Linked DNA regions of Stegostoma tigrinum. The protein of the gene in region 1 interacts with the protein of each later gene in a biochemical or structural test. Links are inferred from orthologs where the notes say so. Each region holds a gene or a part of one and is shown on either strand. Other genes may lie near its edges.

The links.
Region 2: the proteins of reln (region 1) and vldlr form a complex in vitro, tested with the Homo sapiens proteins (6 studies listed by BioGRID). The link is inferred for Stegostoma tigrinum from reciprocal best matches to the Homo sapiens genes RELN and VLDLR.

What each region holds. Positions count from the first base shown.
Region 1 is NC_081378.1:23,253,943-23,263,365, forward strand, and holds the start of reln (reelin), read left to right. Parts: upstream 1-5,776; 5' UTR 5,777-5,793; intron 5,794-6,338; 5' UTR 6,339-6,399; coding exon 6,400-6,628; intron 6,629-9,423. Other genes in the region: orc5 (origin recognition complex subunit 5), read left to right, coding at 1-2. UniProt on the Homo sapiens protein: Extracellular matrix serine protease secreted by pioneer neurons that plays a role in layering of neurons in the cerebral cortex and cerebellum by coordinating cell positioning during neurodevelopment.
Region 2 is NC_081356.1:4,784,746-4,793,133, forward strand, and holds the start of vldlr (very low-density lipoprotein receptor), read left to right. Parts: upstream 1-4,636; 5' UTR 4,637-5,063; coding exon 5,064-5,133; intron 5,134-7,172; coding exon 7,173-7,292; intron 7,293-8,388. UniProt on the Homo sapiens protein: Multifunctional cell surface receptor that binds VLDL and transports it into cells by endocytosis and therefore plays an important role in energy metabolism.

The DNA.
Region 1 (9,423 bases):
GAGACCCAGCACAACCATTTGATACTGCAAGCAATGATCACTTCTTTAGCTCCAATTCATTCTGATTTCTCCACTCTGCTGAGAAATGACAGGCATTTTGGCAGCATTCGATTTGTCCAAGCAGGTGTTAGCACAGTATGGAATCTGATAGCAATATCTTGATTGGTCAGAATGGATCTTTAAAATGAACTATTTACCAGCAATCTTCAGTATTTCAGAGCTAAGTGTTAATTATGAGCAGCAGGAATTCAGGGCAATCTGTTCCAATGCAATAACAATATATTAGCACAAAAGACACCTGAAATGTATTTACTTTCAATTATTTTCCTTTGTGAAGCATCCTTTTCTCGGAATGTAGTGTAGCAGCCATTTGTGTGACCAGCCTTTCATTTTTAAAAAACTTATCTGCTGTAATGTTTTGTGGCCCTTATTAATTTTGCAAAAAATTTTCTATTTTTTAGTGGACAAAAATAAATAAATGTAGTGCAGTAATTGTGTTATATTGCTGTTAGTGTTGTTAAACTGTTGAAGAGAAATGTCAAAGTAGAGTACCTTTCATCTTTTGGAGCTGGTGAAGCTGATTCACGTCTGTGTCTTGTTAATTTAAATACATGTTATCAATATCGCAAGGTCTATGGGCCCTGTCAACATTGGGCTGAAATTTTGAAGATTTGTGCTCCAGGACTATCTCCACCGCTCACCAAACTGTTCCAACACAAGCACAACACTGACATTGACCTGGTAATGTGAAAGCCACTTTGGTATATCTTGTCCACAGAAAGCAGGACAATCTAATTTAGTTGCTTTTTATCCTATCAGTCTACCCTTCGTTATCAGCAAAGTGTCTTTTACAGTGCTGCTAATACCTGTAGTCTACAAAGTTTGGATCCTCCAGAGCCCCTCATGCTGCAGACTTCATCATAACCTGGAACCAAAAGTCCTGAATTCCAGAAGTGAGAGTTCTTGACATCCAGGCAGGTTTGATCGATTGTGGCATTAAGGAGTCCAAGTGAAATTGAAGTCAACGTGAATCAGAAAGCAAGCTCTGCAACAGGTGCCGTCATACCCCTCACAAAGGAAAATGGTTTCCAACTGCAACCAATCATCTCAGTCCTGGGATATTGTTTTAGGAGTTCTGAAAAGGATTCGGACATTTTAAATTGCTTTATCAATTACATTCCCTCCAACATAATGTTAGAAATTGGGATGTTAGCTGATGATTGACAAACTGTTCAGTTCCACTTACCTTGGGTGCTGAAGGAGTCAGTGCCATGCAGCAAGATTTAGACAACATTGAGTCTTGGCAGGTATATGGAATGTAACGTTCACATCTCACATTTCAAATAATGCTGTCTTCCAAGAAAAGGAAATCTAATTATCTTTTGCCTTGATTTTCACTGGCATTGAAATCACTGAATCCACTTCCATTAACATTCTAAAATAACTTGATTAGAAATTTAGCAGGTTTAGCTATTCTGTGACTGCAAGAGCAGGTCAAAGACTGTGTGTTCTCATTCACAGTAACTCAAAATAAAACCTCATAGGTTCTTACACAATGGTCATCTGAGTCTTTTTGTGTACCACATTCTAGGATTTGGAGGTTTCCTTTGCATAATTAATGTGATCTGATCAGAGCATTCATTTGCGAATAGCTTAAACCCTAAAGATTTGTCTGCATAGTTCAGTGATGCTTTTAAATTGAGATTGCCGGTTTTATAGCCTATGAAAATCTACTAACAAATGCATGTTGTAAGAATGCGTAATGTACAGAGGAAAAGTTACTGATTTAATTGAGTGAGTGACATGTCCTTTGGAACTTAAGCTTGGTTTTCTGTACAACCCGAGCTACTGATATTTGAACTGGTCTTGGTACATACATGGTGTGCTAGTGCTCAACACAGTGTATTAAGTGAAGATGTATTTTAGTAATTTAAATTTTGGTATATTCTTAAAAATAAAGCTTGCTGATTTATTAACTTTTGAATGCATCATCATTGTGGATATTATTGGACAAATTATTCTTAATGTCTTTGGAATAAATGTTAATCAGTAAATAAATCTGAAAATATAAAGTGGCATTAGTAAGTGTGACCTTGGAACTGTCAGATTATCGTAGAAACACAACTAATTTCCTGATGTCCTTAAAGGAAGGAAATGACATCCTTATTTGGCCTAGCCTATTGTGACCTCTGGAAAGAGATTCAGTGTTTTGCATCGAGGTTCGTTGGCTGTATGGGCTGTTTGCAGAGAATAGCATCCCACAGCTGCTGGAGAACCATCAATCTGGTGAAAGTTTCTCTTTAGGCTGCCTGAAACTTGCTGGTGCAAAGAGTTGACTGAAATTGAATATTTAGTTCCAAGTTTTGAATTCCATGGTTCTGCACTTCGAGCTAAGGGATGCACTAAAGCATAGGTTATATTCAGTAAAGGAGCAGGGTCACCATCTAAAGCCTTTTAGCTGTAGTACAGTGAGGGGGTGGAAACTGAGTAAAACCCCCTTGGTCTATATTTTTGACGTAATAAATCCTGCAAATATTTTGTAAATGTAGCACATAGAATACTCAGCATTCACACATTCTGTAAGCCAATTTGTGCTACTAAAGAGCTAACGCATATGATGTCACTCTTTGGTTACCAGCTATATATGAATGCAGATCTATGCAGGATACAGTAAACTCTGTACTACCGTTCTTGATTACTAATCTAATGTAGCCTATTTACTTGATCTATTTTTACTTGTCATACAAAAATTTGTTCAATGCTGAAATATTGCACATTAAGATGTCAGGGTTCTTAATCACAAATAAATATGCCAAAGTGAAAGGGTAGGTGCTGTAATATATGTCTAACCTGTTTAAATGCTTAGTTGCCCAGCACAAGGTTTGAAATGAAATAGTTGTTTAAAAAAAATTGGAGATTATGCATTCTTGTCTTTGTTCGTATTAAAAATTCCATATGCCAACTGAATGCAAATATTAAATATATTATCAGTGTAAGAAGAATATTTTTAAACATGTCAAATCCAAATTATAATCCAATAAGATATTTTCATAATTTACAGCATATTGTGGGCACTTAAACACCAGAAATGGCACATTCATATAATTGAATTAAAATGAGAAATATATGTATGCTTTGGTACTTGATCATTTTTCAACATGTCAAAAATGCTCAGCTCTGGGACTATAGTTTCAAGTCATGTAAGAGTTAATGAAGCCTTGTTGTCAATATTGTCCCATGGGAGGAAGGATGAAGCTTTGTTTAAATGAACTACATTTTCTTTCTCCAAAACGTGCAGATTCCCATGCTTATGAGCCATAGCACTTCTCAGTGCTGAACTGAATGTGGCTTCTAAACTTAATTTTATAAATCTTTTACACATGTCCTGCTACTAATTCACAGCCAGAAAATATTATTGTTTGAGCAGTGTTTATTGAAGACGTAAATGCCGTTCCCAACTTTGTTTTGATTCTGGCAATGTTTGGTTTATTAATAATAATAGACAGAAATTCATACTGGCAATGAGAAACAGTCTAATTTAACAAGGTTGCATGTTAAATGAGTTTCAGAAAACACAAGTTGTGAGCTATTATTCCTCAAGTGTTATTGATTTTTCGATGTAAGCTGAGATGCTGGGTTTTCTTTTGCATTGCTTTTCTTAACCATTACCTCCGTTTCCTCACAGTTTTGTAGTTTGTGTTTACAAAATTGTGACTCTATTAAAACCATTCAGTGTGCTGGTGACGGAGCAAGGCAAAATATTAAAGCAGACAAAGGTAAAGTTTGAAAATTCACCCAGCCTTATGATTGCCTTTTAGAAATAAGCTTGCCTGGATAACATTTGGGCATGGGAAGTTGGAAGGATTATATGTCAGGATGTGAAACATCCACTGCTGAAGTTGGTGATCCGAAGTAGAGAGCAGGATTGTTGTAGTGATGCTAAAAAGTAGCATAGGTAAATATTGGCATTTAATCGTAGTTTTTCAATTTCTAGAACTGCTCAATTACTATCTACTCTTCAACTATAGTTCATACCTACGCATTTCATGCCCTAGCAAGTTGCTTATGCCTAATCTTTGCTTGCCGGATTACTTCTGCAAACGCACCATCATTATATCATCAATTGTCCTCCGTGATGAATACTCATGTAAAGACAGTTGTAAGAAACAAATTAGTTGATCTCTCCAAACCGACCTCGAGTGTAGTTATCAAATATCAAGTAGTTGCTTTTCTCCCCAGTTAAAGCTAAACTGTTATAAATAGATGTTTTATAGTAGTTTAGTAACATTTTTCTTAACTTCCACACAATTAGGAAATATAGCCAAAGAGCTTTCAATTCTGTTTTGAAAATTAAAAACACTTGAATAGAAACAAATAACTCCCATTCATCAGATAATTGAACAAATTGCCCACTGCAATTTTTTTCCTTTTTACTGTATGTCTTTCAATGAATCTTATTTCCGATCGGTTTCCAAAGTGAAATAGAACTGGGTCTTACTGCACTTTACATCAGTTAATAGAAATGCTTGAACAATTGAACCTGCACTGATTAAATGTCAATTAACTCTGTAGCATCAGTTGGATAATTTCATGAATAGAAAAATTAATTTGGTGTTGAGCCTTATGCAGAACCTTCAGAATGCAAAGTGAATGATGTCAGGCCAATTAAACAGTTAAAAGACCTTTGAATTAGTTGAATGAAGAAAGCAGATAAGCAAAAAACTTTTCTTTTCTGATGAAGGGTCTAGGCCCGAAATGTCAGCTTTTGTGCTCCTGAAATGCTGCTTGGCCTGTTGTGTTCATCCAGCTCCACACTTTGTTATCTTGGATTCTCCAGCATCTGCATGCAGTTCCCATTATCACTGCTTTTTTTTTTCTTGTTAGTTTATATTACAAATAGTAAGATTGTGAATATTTTTAAAGTGTCCAAATGTCTCTTTAAAATATAGCTCATACAAAATTGACTACCTGGTATATTGGAGGTATCCATCTAGGCAGAAATTAACATACAAGCTATTAGAAATCATCTTTTAACGTAACTGTTAGGAGTAATTTAACAATGCTGCACAGTTGACTATGAAATGTACACTGGTACTTGTGTAAACCTTTTTTTCCTGTAAGGTTAAAGTTCTGTTGACATGGCATTAATAATTATCGTAACATTGACTCTCTTGCCCTCTGCTATGGAATGTATCAGAGCAGCTGAATTTAAAATCCATTTGTAAACATCTAGACTGCTGTTTTGAGCTCACTAATTACCAGAACTCAAACTTTAAATCAGTAGATAAATTATTTAATTTTATCAGGACTGAGTTTAGAGAAGAGGTGAATCCAGTGTTTAATTAGAGTCTCTGCAGTTGTTAAGTGATTTAATTCAAGCTTCCACAGATCTTGTGGCCCACTTAAATCGGTTTTTATGTAGCTTTACTGTTTTATGTTACCGTTCAAAATATTTTGATCAAATAATTCCTTTTCTATTGTATATTGGTTGTTTTCCGAATTCTGAATTGGTGTTGATATGGAACTTTCATTTGAGGTGATCACTTAGGCAATAAAAACAACTTTAAATATCACGATATTATATAATTGTATTGCTGTTATAATGGCCTCGAGACATGTTTGCCACATTATATAATTATTTTGGCAGTTTAGTATTTAATCTTTTAAAAATGGCTTTTTAAAAAAAACTCCCAATATCTATTGCGGGTAAACCTAGATTTTTCAAGGGTTTTTATGCAATTGTGCATCAAGCACACTACTGACCTTTTACAGAAAAATCAAAGGTCTGCTGTGGTGAGTGGTTTATATCTGAAACAGTATTTAAATGATATTTCAGTGTATGTCATCGGACTTGCAGTGCTTGGTATTTGCTGTTCAGATTTTTCGATTTGTCTATTTAGTGATAAGGCATAAATACGAGACTTCCCTTTTGGACACTCGGAGAATGAGTGAGGAATGGCTTTTTCTGTCTGATGTTACTCTGAGAAGGTGGAGTTTTTCAGCACTCCAGTAAAAGCAGCAGGGGAAATAAATTATTTCCAGTCGCTGCATTTTATGCCTGATCACCTCCCGGTTTTAGTCCGTGTTCTGACTGAAGGGAAAGCGTTTGCCTTCCTAAAAAAAGTTAACAAAACAAAGACGCGCCTTGAGGCACGTGGGAGGGGGCTGGAAAGTGGAATACAATATGCTCTGAAGAAGACGTACTCGAAAGCTGTATTGCAGCTTATGAAGCTGATGTATTAGAATGCAGTAGAAACAGCTGACAGCTGGCAGTTCCTGGCTTATGACTTTCCCAACAGAAGCTCCCTGACATTAAACTTGTAATCTCTTTAATACAGCAAAAAAACTCATTCTCAACAATCGGTTTCCAGCAGAACGGAATCTGAAGAGGACAGAGAAATGGCTAAAGAACGATGCTTTAAATATTGGACTTTATTCTCTCTGGTTGGAATATTCTTGACAGATTTTGTATGTGGATCTGTGGGGTTTTACCCAAGGTTTGCCCCATTTTTTTTCCTTTGTACCCACCACGGAGAACTGGAGGGTGATGGAGAGCAGGGAGAGGTGTTGATGTCACTTCACATTGTGGGAAATCCAGAATATTATGTGCCTGGTCAAGAATATCATGGTAGGTCACTTTTACTTGAATGGATGTTGCTTACAGGTTTTAGTGGCCAGTTTAACAAAAAAAAGTGTAACAGTTTCTGGATGAATCAAATGTGTTTCTTTCACATGATTTGACTTGTGAAATGCATATTTTAGTATAAAATTGGCATGCCCCTGGTTTATGCCTGCATATTTGAAAGAAGCAGTTCTTTGTTTTGAGAGCTGGTAGAGTGTTTAATATTTTAAATAGTTTACCTTAAATGAGCAAGGTTAAAATGAAATCATATTAATGTGACTGACTTGACCATTCACACTTTTGCTGATATGAATTATGAAGACAAATTAATCCTTTGGGGTTTTTTCTTTGTTGTGAACCATTCCCTTTCTGTTCCTAAATCTCTGTCCTTCAAAGATTCTATTGTGGGGATTGGATGTATTAAACTAAGCTGGCAGGTTTGAGTAGGCTTTGTGTGTGGGCTCAACTCAAGTGTAAAAAAAATCTTTTGCTGGGACAGCTGTCAGTCCCTGACCAATCTACATTTTAAAATAAAGTCAATAGATTTTTAATGTAAGAGCACATAGCATACTTGTGGATCATTTCTAGCGTGCAGACTGTGTCCGCAGTCAGGTCGAAGATAGCAGGATGCCCTGCACAGTGTCTCCACTGTACATGTGTGATCTATAGCTGATTGCTCCCTGTAAGACAAAAGTGAGAGTTCAGGTCAGCTGTGCATAGGGTTGAATTAACATGGAGAAAAACAGCTTGACTTGAGCAGTAGGAAGCAAAAATGTCACTCTTGTATCAACGCAGAAGGTTCGGACAGTCTCCAGAGGGAAAACTAAATAACAGTACTCCAAACAGTAATGTTGAATACTTTGAAATAATTTTATTAGAAGTAGAAAGCTTTAAGATTTAACAAAATCTGTGAAAAAACCTTTCTTTCATTCCAGACTGGCTACTCTAATACAATGGAATCAAAGAGTGTATTTGTAGTCAAGCAAGATATTTAACCAGTTCAGTGCAGTATTGGCAATTGTTCATCCATTGGGACTAATTAGCAGAAAACAGCTGTAAGATAATATACAGCACTTTTTCTGCAAGGTAATATTTCATTTTAAAACATGCAAGCATATTTAATTTCATATTCAGTTGTTGTTTCAGAGCAAGTACTAAACAGACCAAATAAACAACTATAGAGAACACTATGATTGTACAATCTTCACCTTGAAGGAGAAGGTATTGAGCTGTCTTTTTTGGGGATAGATACTATCTTATCATTCTGTTCTGATGAGTGTAATTGGGGGGGAAAGGGCATTTAACTCATTAACTATTATTTACAAATCACCCAATCAACAGCTAATTAGTGAATGTCATTCTTATTATAAACCTGAATCTGGATTCACTTATTTAGCTTCCAGGATGTGTACTGTCATAAAGCTATGAGAGAGTGGTTTTGTGAACATTTATAATGAAGCCTAAAGTGTTGTACCTTTTTGGTTATTTTATCTTCTGATTATTTCACAATATTGATACAGGCAAAGAAACTCCATCTTTCCCAACATTAAGCCGTGACAGACGTTTGGCGCTGCAATTCAGAATTTAAATACAAAAAACAGTCCAATGGGCAATTATAAGGGAAAAATATAGCTTGAGATTCAAATAGGTGTTAAAAGACCTAAACTTTCAGAAATAGCTAACAGGAATGCTGATTCCTGTTTATGCTGGGAATGCACCAATAAGACTGGATCTCAATGAATAGATTTAACACGTAGCTGCCTATATTTGTCTCTGCTGTACTGAATGATTTTGGAGCCAAGTTAATTATTAAACTGTTTCTGCCTTGGAACTTTTGTAACAGTAACTTAAACCATGGAAATAGTAAAGCAAATTTGATTTATCAGGTATTTTCTTCTGTAACTCAACAGATAATGTGAAAGGGAGTTCCCTGCACTTGTTTACCCCTCACTAGGTCTGCAGTAAATTCTCGCCATGTTGTAACTCAGATATTTTACCCAAGAGTTGTGGGACAAAGTTGTGTGTACATGGAATCCTTCAACCAAAAACCTTAAACCATCACCTGTTCTCACATCTCCACAAATAGTTCTTGAGTTGGATATGAATACAAGTTGAATTTCCTGATTGTGTTTCCAGATCTTCCCCCCCCAGAAGCAGATTCTCTCCAATTAGTATCTTCCTCTACCTGGCTAAAATAGAGAATTAACTAGCTGGGGAAACAATAGGGAGAGCAAGGTAGTCCATTTATGCACTCATGCTATTGTGCTTTCTGAATGCTCTTTGAAAATCGCAATTTTTCTGTTTTGTGCCGTATCCATCTCTCAAACTAAATCAAATAGTCTGTTTTTCATCATTTTTTGAAACCAAAATCATGACCATCTCCACCAGCTTGTTTTAACTTTAACATTCAACGCTGTGGAGTTTATATTTAAGTTTGTGCTGTGTCAAGTTTTTGATCTGAGTTGTTTTGCGTAAAGAGAATAATATGCATATGTTTTATCTTGTGGTGGGGGTAAGTTTTTAAAGGAAAAATATATTCCTAGCCACTATGTCAAGGCTATTGACAATCTACTAGTAACAGTTTATAAGTATCTAGGAGCTCAGTACTTGAGCCAGAGATGATATAGGTAGACATTCTAGGGAAAATGAAAATAAAGACAGTATAAACTAAGAGTTTAATTCCTAAATATTATTTCATGTGATGTTTACAACATGAACTATCAATTTCTTGTGAGTAGGAAGCAGCAATACAGTTCTCCTATCCTACGTAAACCAAAAACCAGACAAATGGTTTCGATTTG
Region 2 (8,388 bases), on another chromosome or scaffold:
AGAGGGTTGTGGGTGCCTTGAATGCACTGGCAGTGAGGTGGTGGAAGCAGACACATTAGCCATGTTTCAGGTGCATCTTGATAGACACACGAACAGGAGGCAAACAGAGGGATAGAAATGGTGTATGGGCAGTAAATAGCTGGTCTAAATAAGGATGAGAATCGGCACAGACTTGGTGAGCTGGAGGACCTGTTCCTGTGCTGTATTGTACTCTATTCTATTGTAAAAGCGTTAGTATTCTGAATGACTAATATTTCCAAGTATTCACACAGGAAAATATGAGCAATATCCCTCACAGGGGGAGATACCAAAACAAAATCAATTAATTTGTTTGGAAATTGAGAGATAAAAGTCCTTGACAGATTAAAAGGATTTAAAACAAATGTGCCCAGGAATGGTCCTGTGGGAGTAATGGTTAATCATTTCTACAATTATAGCCTAATAAATAGCAGGTAATTCAGATTCAGAGGGTAAATATCCTGCCCAGCTGACCTCATTTTTTGAGAAAGTCACGTCCCAAATAAGTGATGGTGAGGCATATGTCATAATTACAGGCCAGTGTCATGGTGATGACAGGGATTTGTAATCCTGTAAACCCAGACTAATGTTCTAAAGCTGTGAGTTTGAATCTCCCAATGGTGATGTTTGAACGTAATAAAATTCTGGAATTTACGAAAGGTGATGGACATGTAACCACTCTAGATTTTTGTCAAAAAAAAACCCATTGGTTCTCTTATGTCCTTTAGGGAAGGAAATCTTCCATCTTTTCCCAGTGTGGCCTACAGATGTTTACAGACCAACTGCAACGTGGGCGACCGTTCACTGCCCTCTGGATATATGATCCATATCTCATGAATTAATTCTTTTCAAATGATATCGATATTGCCGAGAAAATACATTGACTGAAGCTTTTTTGAAATACTCATCAGGGCAACTTGCAAGAATACCAATTTAAGTGGAAAATTAACATTTATATTGTATGAGTGTGCTGATGGAATTTGAGTAGTCCAGGCTTTACCATGGAAAATGCACCAGTTTTTAATCTTTGTTTAGGTTTTAAACCAAGAAAGTCGGCTGATTGGTCATGACATTAAATTGGGAAATGAACCAGTGATTGCCTCTTACTTAATTTGTTACATTGAGAGAGTCGCAGAGCATATGCATGATTTTTCTATCCACAAAGAACATGATTTCAAGTGCTGTTTCATCCTGCTGCTACGAAGTAACAACATCAGTTGTGTTTTCCAATACAGCTGTTGCTATCAAGCCATAAAAAGTTATGCCTTTCCTAAAGATGAGTCATGTGATATATGAATTTCAGTGACAGTGTGATGCCCGGTAGGCCACACTCATGTCAAACAGCGCATTTCTTCAACTGACAGAACATGTAAAATACAAACTCTATTCTACCAGCCTGTGCTTGCAAAACTCACAACAGAATGGCCAACTGTGGTTAGCACTGCTGTCTCACAAGGACCAGGGCTTGATTCTAGCTTTGGGTGACGATCAGTATGGAGTTCATATGTCCTCCCTGTGTCTGCGTGGGTTTCCACCGGGTGCTCCGGTTTCCTCCCACAGTCCAAAGGTGTGCAGATTAGGTGGATTGGCCATGCTAAATTGTTCATAGTGCCCAGGGATGAGTGGGTTAGGTGGATTTAACATGGTAAATGCAAGGTTATAGGAACAGGGTCAAGGGTTGGGTGTAGGTAAGATACTTTTGGAGGGTAGATACAGATTTGATGGACTGAATGGTTTTTTCTGCACTGTAGGGATTCTGTGATTCTGCAACCGAACAACATTTGCTGGATAACTATGAGTATGCAAAGAATGACACTGACCACTGACAACCAATTTAGGATCATCAGTCAGACATGGCACGTGGTGTAAATGCATGTACTGGGAGCCTCATTTTATTTTCAGCAACGCCGATATACTCAAGTTCTCCAACTCCAAACAGCTAAATATACCCATATAACCAAAGCTATTTGACAATGTTTCACATTGAAAGTTATTAATAAGATTCAATCCTTTGGAGATTCACTGTGAAATCCTCAGCAGATGCTGCACAAAATGTGAATGCACCAGATTATTGCTCATGGTGTTTGGAGTAATATTTTAAGTTGGATGGAGGATTGATTAATGGGCAACAGAAAAGATCAGGACCAACAAAGCATTTTCATGCTGGCATACTGGAGTGCCGCAGTTATAAGAAGTGGGGTGTCAGCTATTTACAATCAACATAAAATTATTAATTAAAAAGCCAGATGTACCCAAGTTTGTTGAAGATACAAAGTCAAGTGGAAATAAAGATAAAGTTACCATAGTAGCCCTGGACCATGGGGCTGCTTTCTCATGAGACAGGCAACCAGTGGTCGTTTAACATGAGGGTCACCACACTGCTGATAAAGGGAGAGGTTGAGGAGGAGAATCTGTCATGGTGACTTCAGCTGGCATAGGAATTGAACTCACACTGTTTGGCATCATTCTGCAACAGAAACCAGTCATCTTGGCAAACTAAGCTAACCAACCTCATGTGGAAACGTAAGCTGTGAGAAGAACACAAAGCGGCTGCAAAGAGATATGAAGAAGTTAATTGAGCAGGCAACAAATGGCAGATAGATTACATTATAGGGAAGTGTGAGGTTAGTAGTTATTTTTATAGTCACGGAGTCATACAACACAGAAACAGACCCTTTGGTCCAATCTGTGTCAACCATAATCCCAAACTAAATTAGTCCCACCTGCCTGTACTTGGCCATATCCCTCCAAATCTTTCTTATTCACGTACTTACCCAAATGTGTTTTAAATATTGTAACTGTACTCACATCCACCACTTTCTTTGGAAGTTCATTGTGCACACGAACCACTCTCTATGTGAATTGCCCCTCATGTCTTTTTAAAATCTTTCTTCTCTCAGCTTAAAAATATGCCCCGGTCCTGAAATCCCCCACCCCAAGGAAAATACACCTGCCACTCACCTTATCTATGACCCTCATTATTTTATAAACCTCTATAAGGTCATCTCTCAATCTCCTGCATTCCAGTGAAATAAGTCCCAGCCTATTCCACCTCTGCTTATAACTAAAACCCTCCATTCCCAGCAACATCCCGGTAAATCTCTTGATTAGTAAGATAGAAAGGATAATAGTGAGGATAGAAAAAGAGTAAATCTTTATGTTCAGAGAGGCCTGGCTGCACAAGAAATACAGAAAGTTAGCATGCATGTACAGCAAACAGTCAAGAAGTTAAATGACATGTAGATCTCTGGAACAAAAGCAAAGTTGCTGGAAAAGCTCAGCAGGTCTGGCAGCATCTGTGAAGGAAAAATGTAGATCTCTATTGGCTAGAGTTGTCAAATATTCTGTGCGAATGTGATACCCTGGCTACACACATACTCACACAAGCCACCCAAATCAATAGAATGTAGATAGATTTGAAATACTTAAGGACCATGAGGAACTGGAATATGGATCCGTTTTGACATTTGGGATTAAAGAGCATTTACTGAGGTTCCAAAGGGCATGTAATTTATTGGATAAAAATAGAAATTAAGCATAAATTCTACAGGTGTGGCAGCATCTGTGGAGAAAAATTAGAGTTAATGCTTCACATCTGGTAACCCTTTCTCAGAACACAGAACTGATCTGAGAAAGGGTCACTGGTCCTGAAGCATTAACTCTGATTTCTGTCCACAGTTGCTGCCAGACCTGCTGAGCTTTTCCAGCAAATTTCTATTTTTGTCCTTTAGATGTGGTGTCAATACAGCACCATCCCCTACAGGGCTCAAGTCCTCACTTAAGCGATTAACTTTACATGTCCTTTATCACTTGTTATATAGGAACAGTGCACAGGTTTGTAATTCTAACATGTTTAATTCAATATTGGCTCTTCTCATATCTTGTCATTTCACTGTTAAATGCTGAATTTCTCTACTTTTTTATGACATAATTATCACATACTCTATGTTTGTAACCTGGTTATTTGGTCTAATCGGACTACAATTCAGCAATTCATACTTTGGAGGTGTTTTCTCGAATACTGACACCCAGATTCTGGTAAAACAAGGACCTACTCCAGAAGGTAAACAATCCTTAGAACACAGGAGGCACTTTTGCCAAACTGGATTTGTCCAACAATTAAAGTTGAATAAACTTGAATGTTTCTTGAATAAAATACCAGTATTACGGAAACGACTGAAAACGGCAAAAATATATGAATCCCTGATTTTTTCCACCCATCGTCAATGTTTTGTGCAAAATCCCGTTAATTGTTGGGACTTGACCTCTTTGTATAAAATTTATCTGAAAGTCCAGCGTCAGTAGCTTTCAGGAGGGCTTGTCTGAGTTTATTAAGACTTAAAACCAAAGTCTTTCAATATTAGTCTAATCAATTTTGCAATCCTATGAAAACCTCTCGGGCACTTATTTCGAAGTTGAATTTAGGCTGGCTGGTCGGCATGGACGAGTGGGACCGAACGGTCGGTTTTCGTGCTGTACAACATCACTATGACTCTACCCAACTCCCCTTGATTTTCATAGAAAAATGTGACTATAAATAAACATCCCGACCTTTGAACTTTTACCTCTTGGTGTGATAACAGGGCCCATCTTCCTGCTCTGGCAAATCAGAACACAGAAAGGGGCAATAAAAAAGAACAACACACACACTTTTGTGAGATATTTTCTAATCAACAGAAGTCTTTTATTGCGAGAACCCATTCTGTTACAGTCAGTAGTGAGAACTCATTCACCAATAATGGGAAGGCGTACATTCAGTAAATCAACCATTTACCGTCCCATCAGCGAGCAGCTCTACCGACAGATATGGATTTACCATGCAGTTATTTAACAAGGTAATTGCGTTAGGAGGCACACAGCCACCAACCAGTTGTTCCAGAGAGCAGAGGGAACGCATTTAAAAGCACGTCTGTGCGTCATTCTGGCGTGTCCGTCTTTCCTTAGTTCGCTGGAGGGATTTAAAGGGAAAAAAAATACCCTGGTTCTTCTACCCGTTAATATTGGGGGACCAAGCAGCAGCTTGGCGCTGACAGTGGAACGCTGAAATGATCCCTCTCCGTGCGGTTTTGCCACTGCTGCTTGCAGTGTGTGTGTATCAGTGCCGATCTATACATGGTAAGTACTGTGACTCCATTATCTTAACACTGAGCCAGTGGCTGGGGTAAAGAAGCAGGTGGCAGGGCAAGATCCAGAGACAGGGGCGGGTGGGAGAAGACACAGGTTTTTTTTCAGGGGAAAAAAGTGACCTCCAGCTGAGCTGGTTTTATTTGCTCCTTTTCAGTCGTGGAGCTGTAATGTTGGGTTTTTATCTGAATCGTGGCGGGATACAATTTTTAAGTGGAGCCCTTTATTGTCACAACCTCCCTCCTTCGCGGGCTTGTGTACGCTCCCTGTGCCACTCGCTCGCTTAGTTGACTAATAATTGAAAAGCCACACTGTCGACTAGGAAATGCCTTGGGAATAGTCAGACCTACATATACCTAAAATGGAACAGTATATTAAAAGGGCAACAGTAACATTCAAGAATGTGATCCTTGACTGGAAATCTTTTTTTCGTAAAAGCATTACCATGGACCCAAGGGAGGAGCGAATAATTGTATTAAAGCTCCTGTATTTCTAGGATACCTTATTCAGTCCATTCCAAATGGGGGGGGGGGGGTGTGGAGGAATAAATATTAGTAGGTCCCACCAGCTAACTTTTTACTTTAAAAGTAAGCCTATATAGACTCGTGCTTAAGACAACCTACTGGGTTTTACACACAGACCTTGAAGCGTCTAGCTCAGAACTTGGTGAATGTGATGCAAGCCTCGGTTAGAGTTACATACACCAAATGGGTTAAACTCTCAAACCGATCGCAGCTAAACTTTCGTTAGTTGACATAACTTAAACCACAAATCGGCGGAGCCATCATTGGATGGAGTACTGTGTCAAGTATCAAATGGCTGGTCAGTCTGGCTTCATTTGTACCTGGACTGAACTGGAGTCATGTCAACTTGCGAAAAATTTTTTAACTTGAAACGGTACCATCAGCCACTTCCATAGTGTTTACACTCTGGCTGTTTCCCCCTGAATTCTAGGCTTATCTCTTGTTTGACCTTGGCTTGACTTTTTTAAAAGTCGAGTGTTTACTCCTGTAGCGTATTCGGGACTGCTCCAAGTGGAGCAGGAGGTGACATTCTTCTCCACCGCCCCTGCCCCCCCCATGCGTAACACAGTAAACTTGCTGTATTAACCCCCGCCCACCGCCATCCATGGTCACAGCACTCCTTGCTGAATGTGATCCAGATCTCGGATGCCCTGAACAGCAGATCCGCCTCAGTACCTAGCGAGCTGCCGGATTAAGCAGCTGTCTTAGTCTGTCTTCCTCCTCCGCGCCCACCCCCCAGCAAAACGACTTTGTTCACGGGAACAGGTTGTTTGAACTGTTAAACGCTTTCTTGAAACCTTGGCAGTGTGCAGCAGACCTTTCCTAGAGTCGCAGACTAAATGACCTTGAATTGGCAACGTTGGTGTTGTTGTAGTGAGGAGGAGCGCTGTAATTTTAATCCACCTACACACGGGTGTGTACGTAAATGATAGCTTGTTTCTTTTCCCACTTATGTGATGCTGGTTACAAAGTGGACTTGCCTGAAGTGCCCAACGTCCAATAATGGAGAAACGTTGGCGTGCCAGCTCTAAGCAAAGGGGGCCAGATATCCGAGCCCAGGGTTTCGCGGCAAATGGTTTGAAGACCAACCTCAACCCGACTAATACAGCTCTCTCTCAAGAGCTACCAGTTCAGAGTTCTGGCACTCTCCCTTGCTCGAGTATGGGGCAAGGTCCCTCAGTAAATTTAAATATCTGGAAAACTTTCTGAAGGGACCAGACCCGAAACGTAAGCTTTCCTGCTTGGCCTGATGTTCACCAGCTCTTCACCTCTAAATATCAGGAGTTTGTTTCAGGTTACTGGCTATACCTTTCTTTTCTAAGCAGAAACGTGACCTAAACGCAACCTTGCGAGTTGGTTCATAACTATATACAGACCCAGCGCCGATAAGTGGTACACTTTCACCTGACTATGAAACGGTTACGCAGCGTTAAGCTAGCCATAATTTTTAGTTTAAAATAGCAAAATTTGTGCTTAAAGATAAACTACAACTTCTTTCCCCTGGAGGCTCTCGAGTATCTTGTGAGGCATCACAGTTCCAGTGCCGAAATGGTCGCTGTATTCCCGCTGTATGGAAATGTGATGGAGATGAAGACTGCTCAGATGGAAGTGATGAAGCTGCCTGCGGTAAGCAGTTGAAATAGTCAAGTTCCAGGCTTAGAACTGACGTTTACTTCTAACTATATAGAAAGCATCAAGAATTGACTTTCTGGTCAAGACCCTCTAATACAACTAACTAGGGCTGGGTATTAGATGAAGTTTATTCCCTCAAGTTAACGTTGCTGATCTCTAGCATCAAAATGCTATTAGACCATGTCCAGAACATGCCATAGATTTTTAGCATGGATAGTTGAAGTTGCTTTTGAGACTTGGCATTTAAAATGCCAAAAGTACACTTTTAAACACACTCCTAACTGGAGTCTCAACCTTGACTTGAGATGTCTAGCTTGTCAATTTAGACATGCTGTTGCTTTCAAGATTGCATATTTCCATGCTGGACATGGCAACTTTTAAGAGACTCTTCCTACATGCCCCTTTCTCTTAGTGAATGCTAATGATGTAATCACTTGTTCCTCACATCCTATGCTCAGTATGACTGCGTACTTGAGCAAAAGTACAAACTAGTGAAACTGACTGCTGAAGTCCAATTGTCAGCTGAGCTTTATCCTCTAAAGGAGTTTCAGTGGTGAAAGTCACCACTAGGTGTAAACAATATCCTTTATCTGTCCTACATTACACACCTAAAGGAGGCAAACATCCTAACTTTTCACTAGCTATGAAGGCATTCATCCTCTGACTAGAGGACCAGCTCCTCGCTAATCCTGGTTTTTTCCAAGATTAATTGGAATCAACACCCCATTTACACTGACATTGCCAGACTTTGACTGATCATTGCTATAGCTGTTTGTCTCATCACTTCTCTTTCCATTGTGCTAGCTATTCATTGAACATCTAAACTCCTTTCTTAAACCTGATGTTAATGCATTGACTAGGCCCTAGCAATCTCATTACACATCACCCTCTTCATTATCAAGCTTTTGTGTATCTGTCCCTTGAGCCCCTTACCACTTCAGTTTCCATTACACTGACTGACCACCTTGTTCAACACAATTGACTTAGTTTTGTAACTTGTGTTTCTGTACTTGTACAATACTTAATTGTTACAAGTAGTTTACCCCCTACAGGGAAACCTAGAGCACGAGGCTAGATACTACCTGAAGCA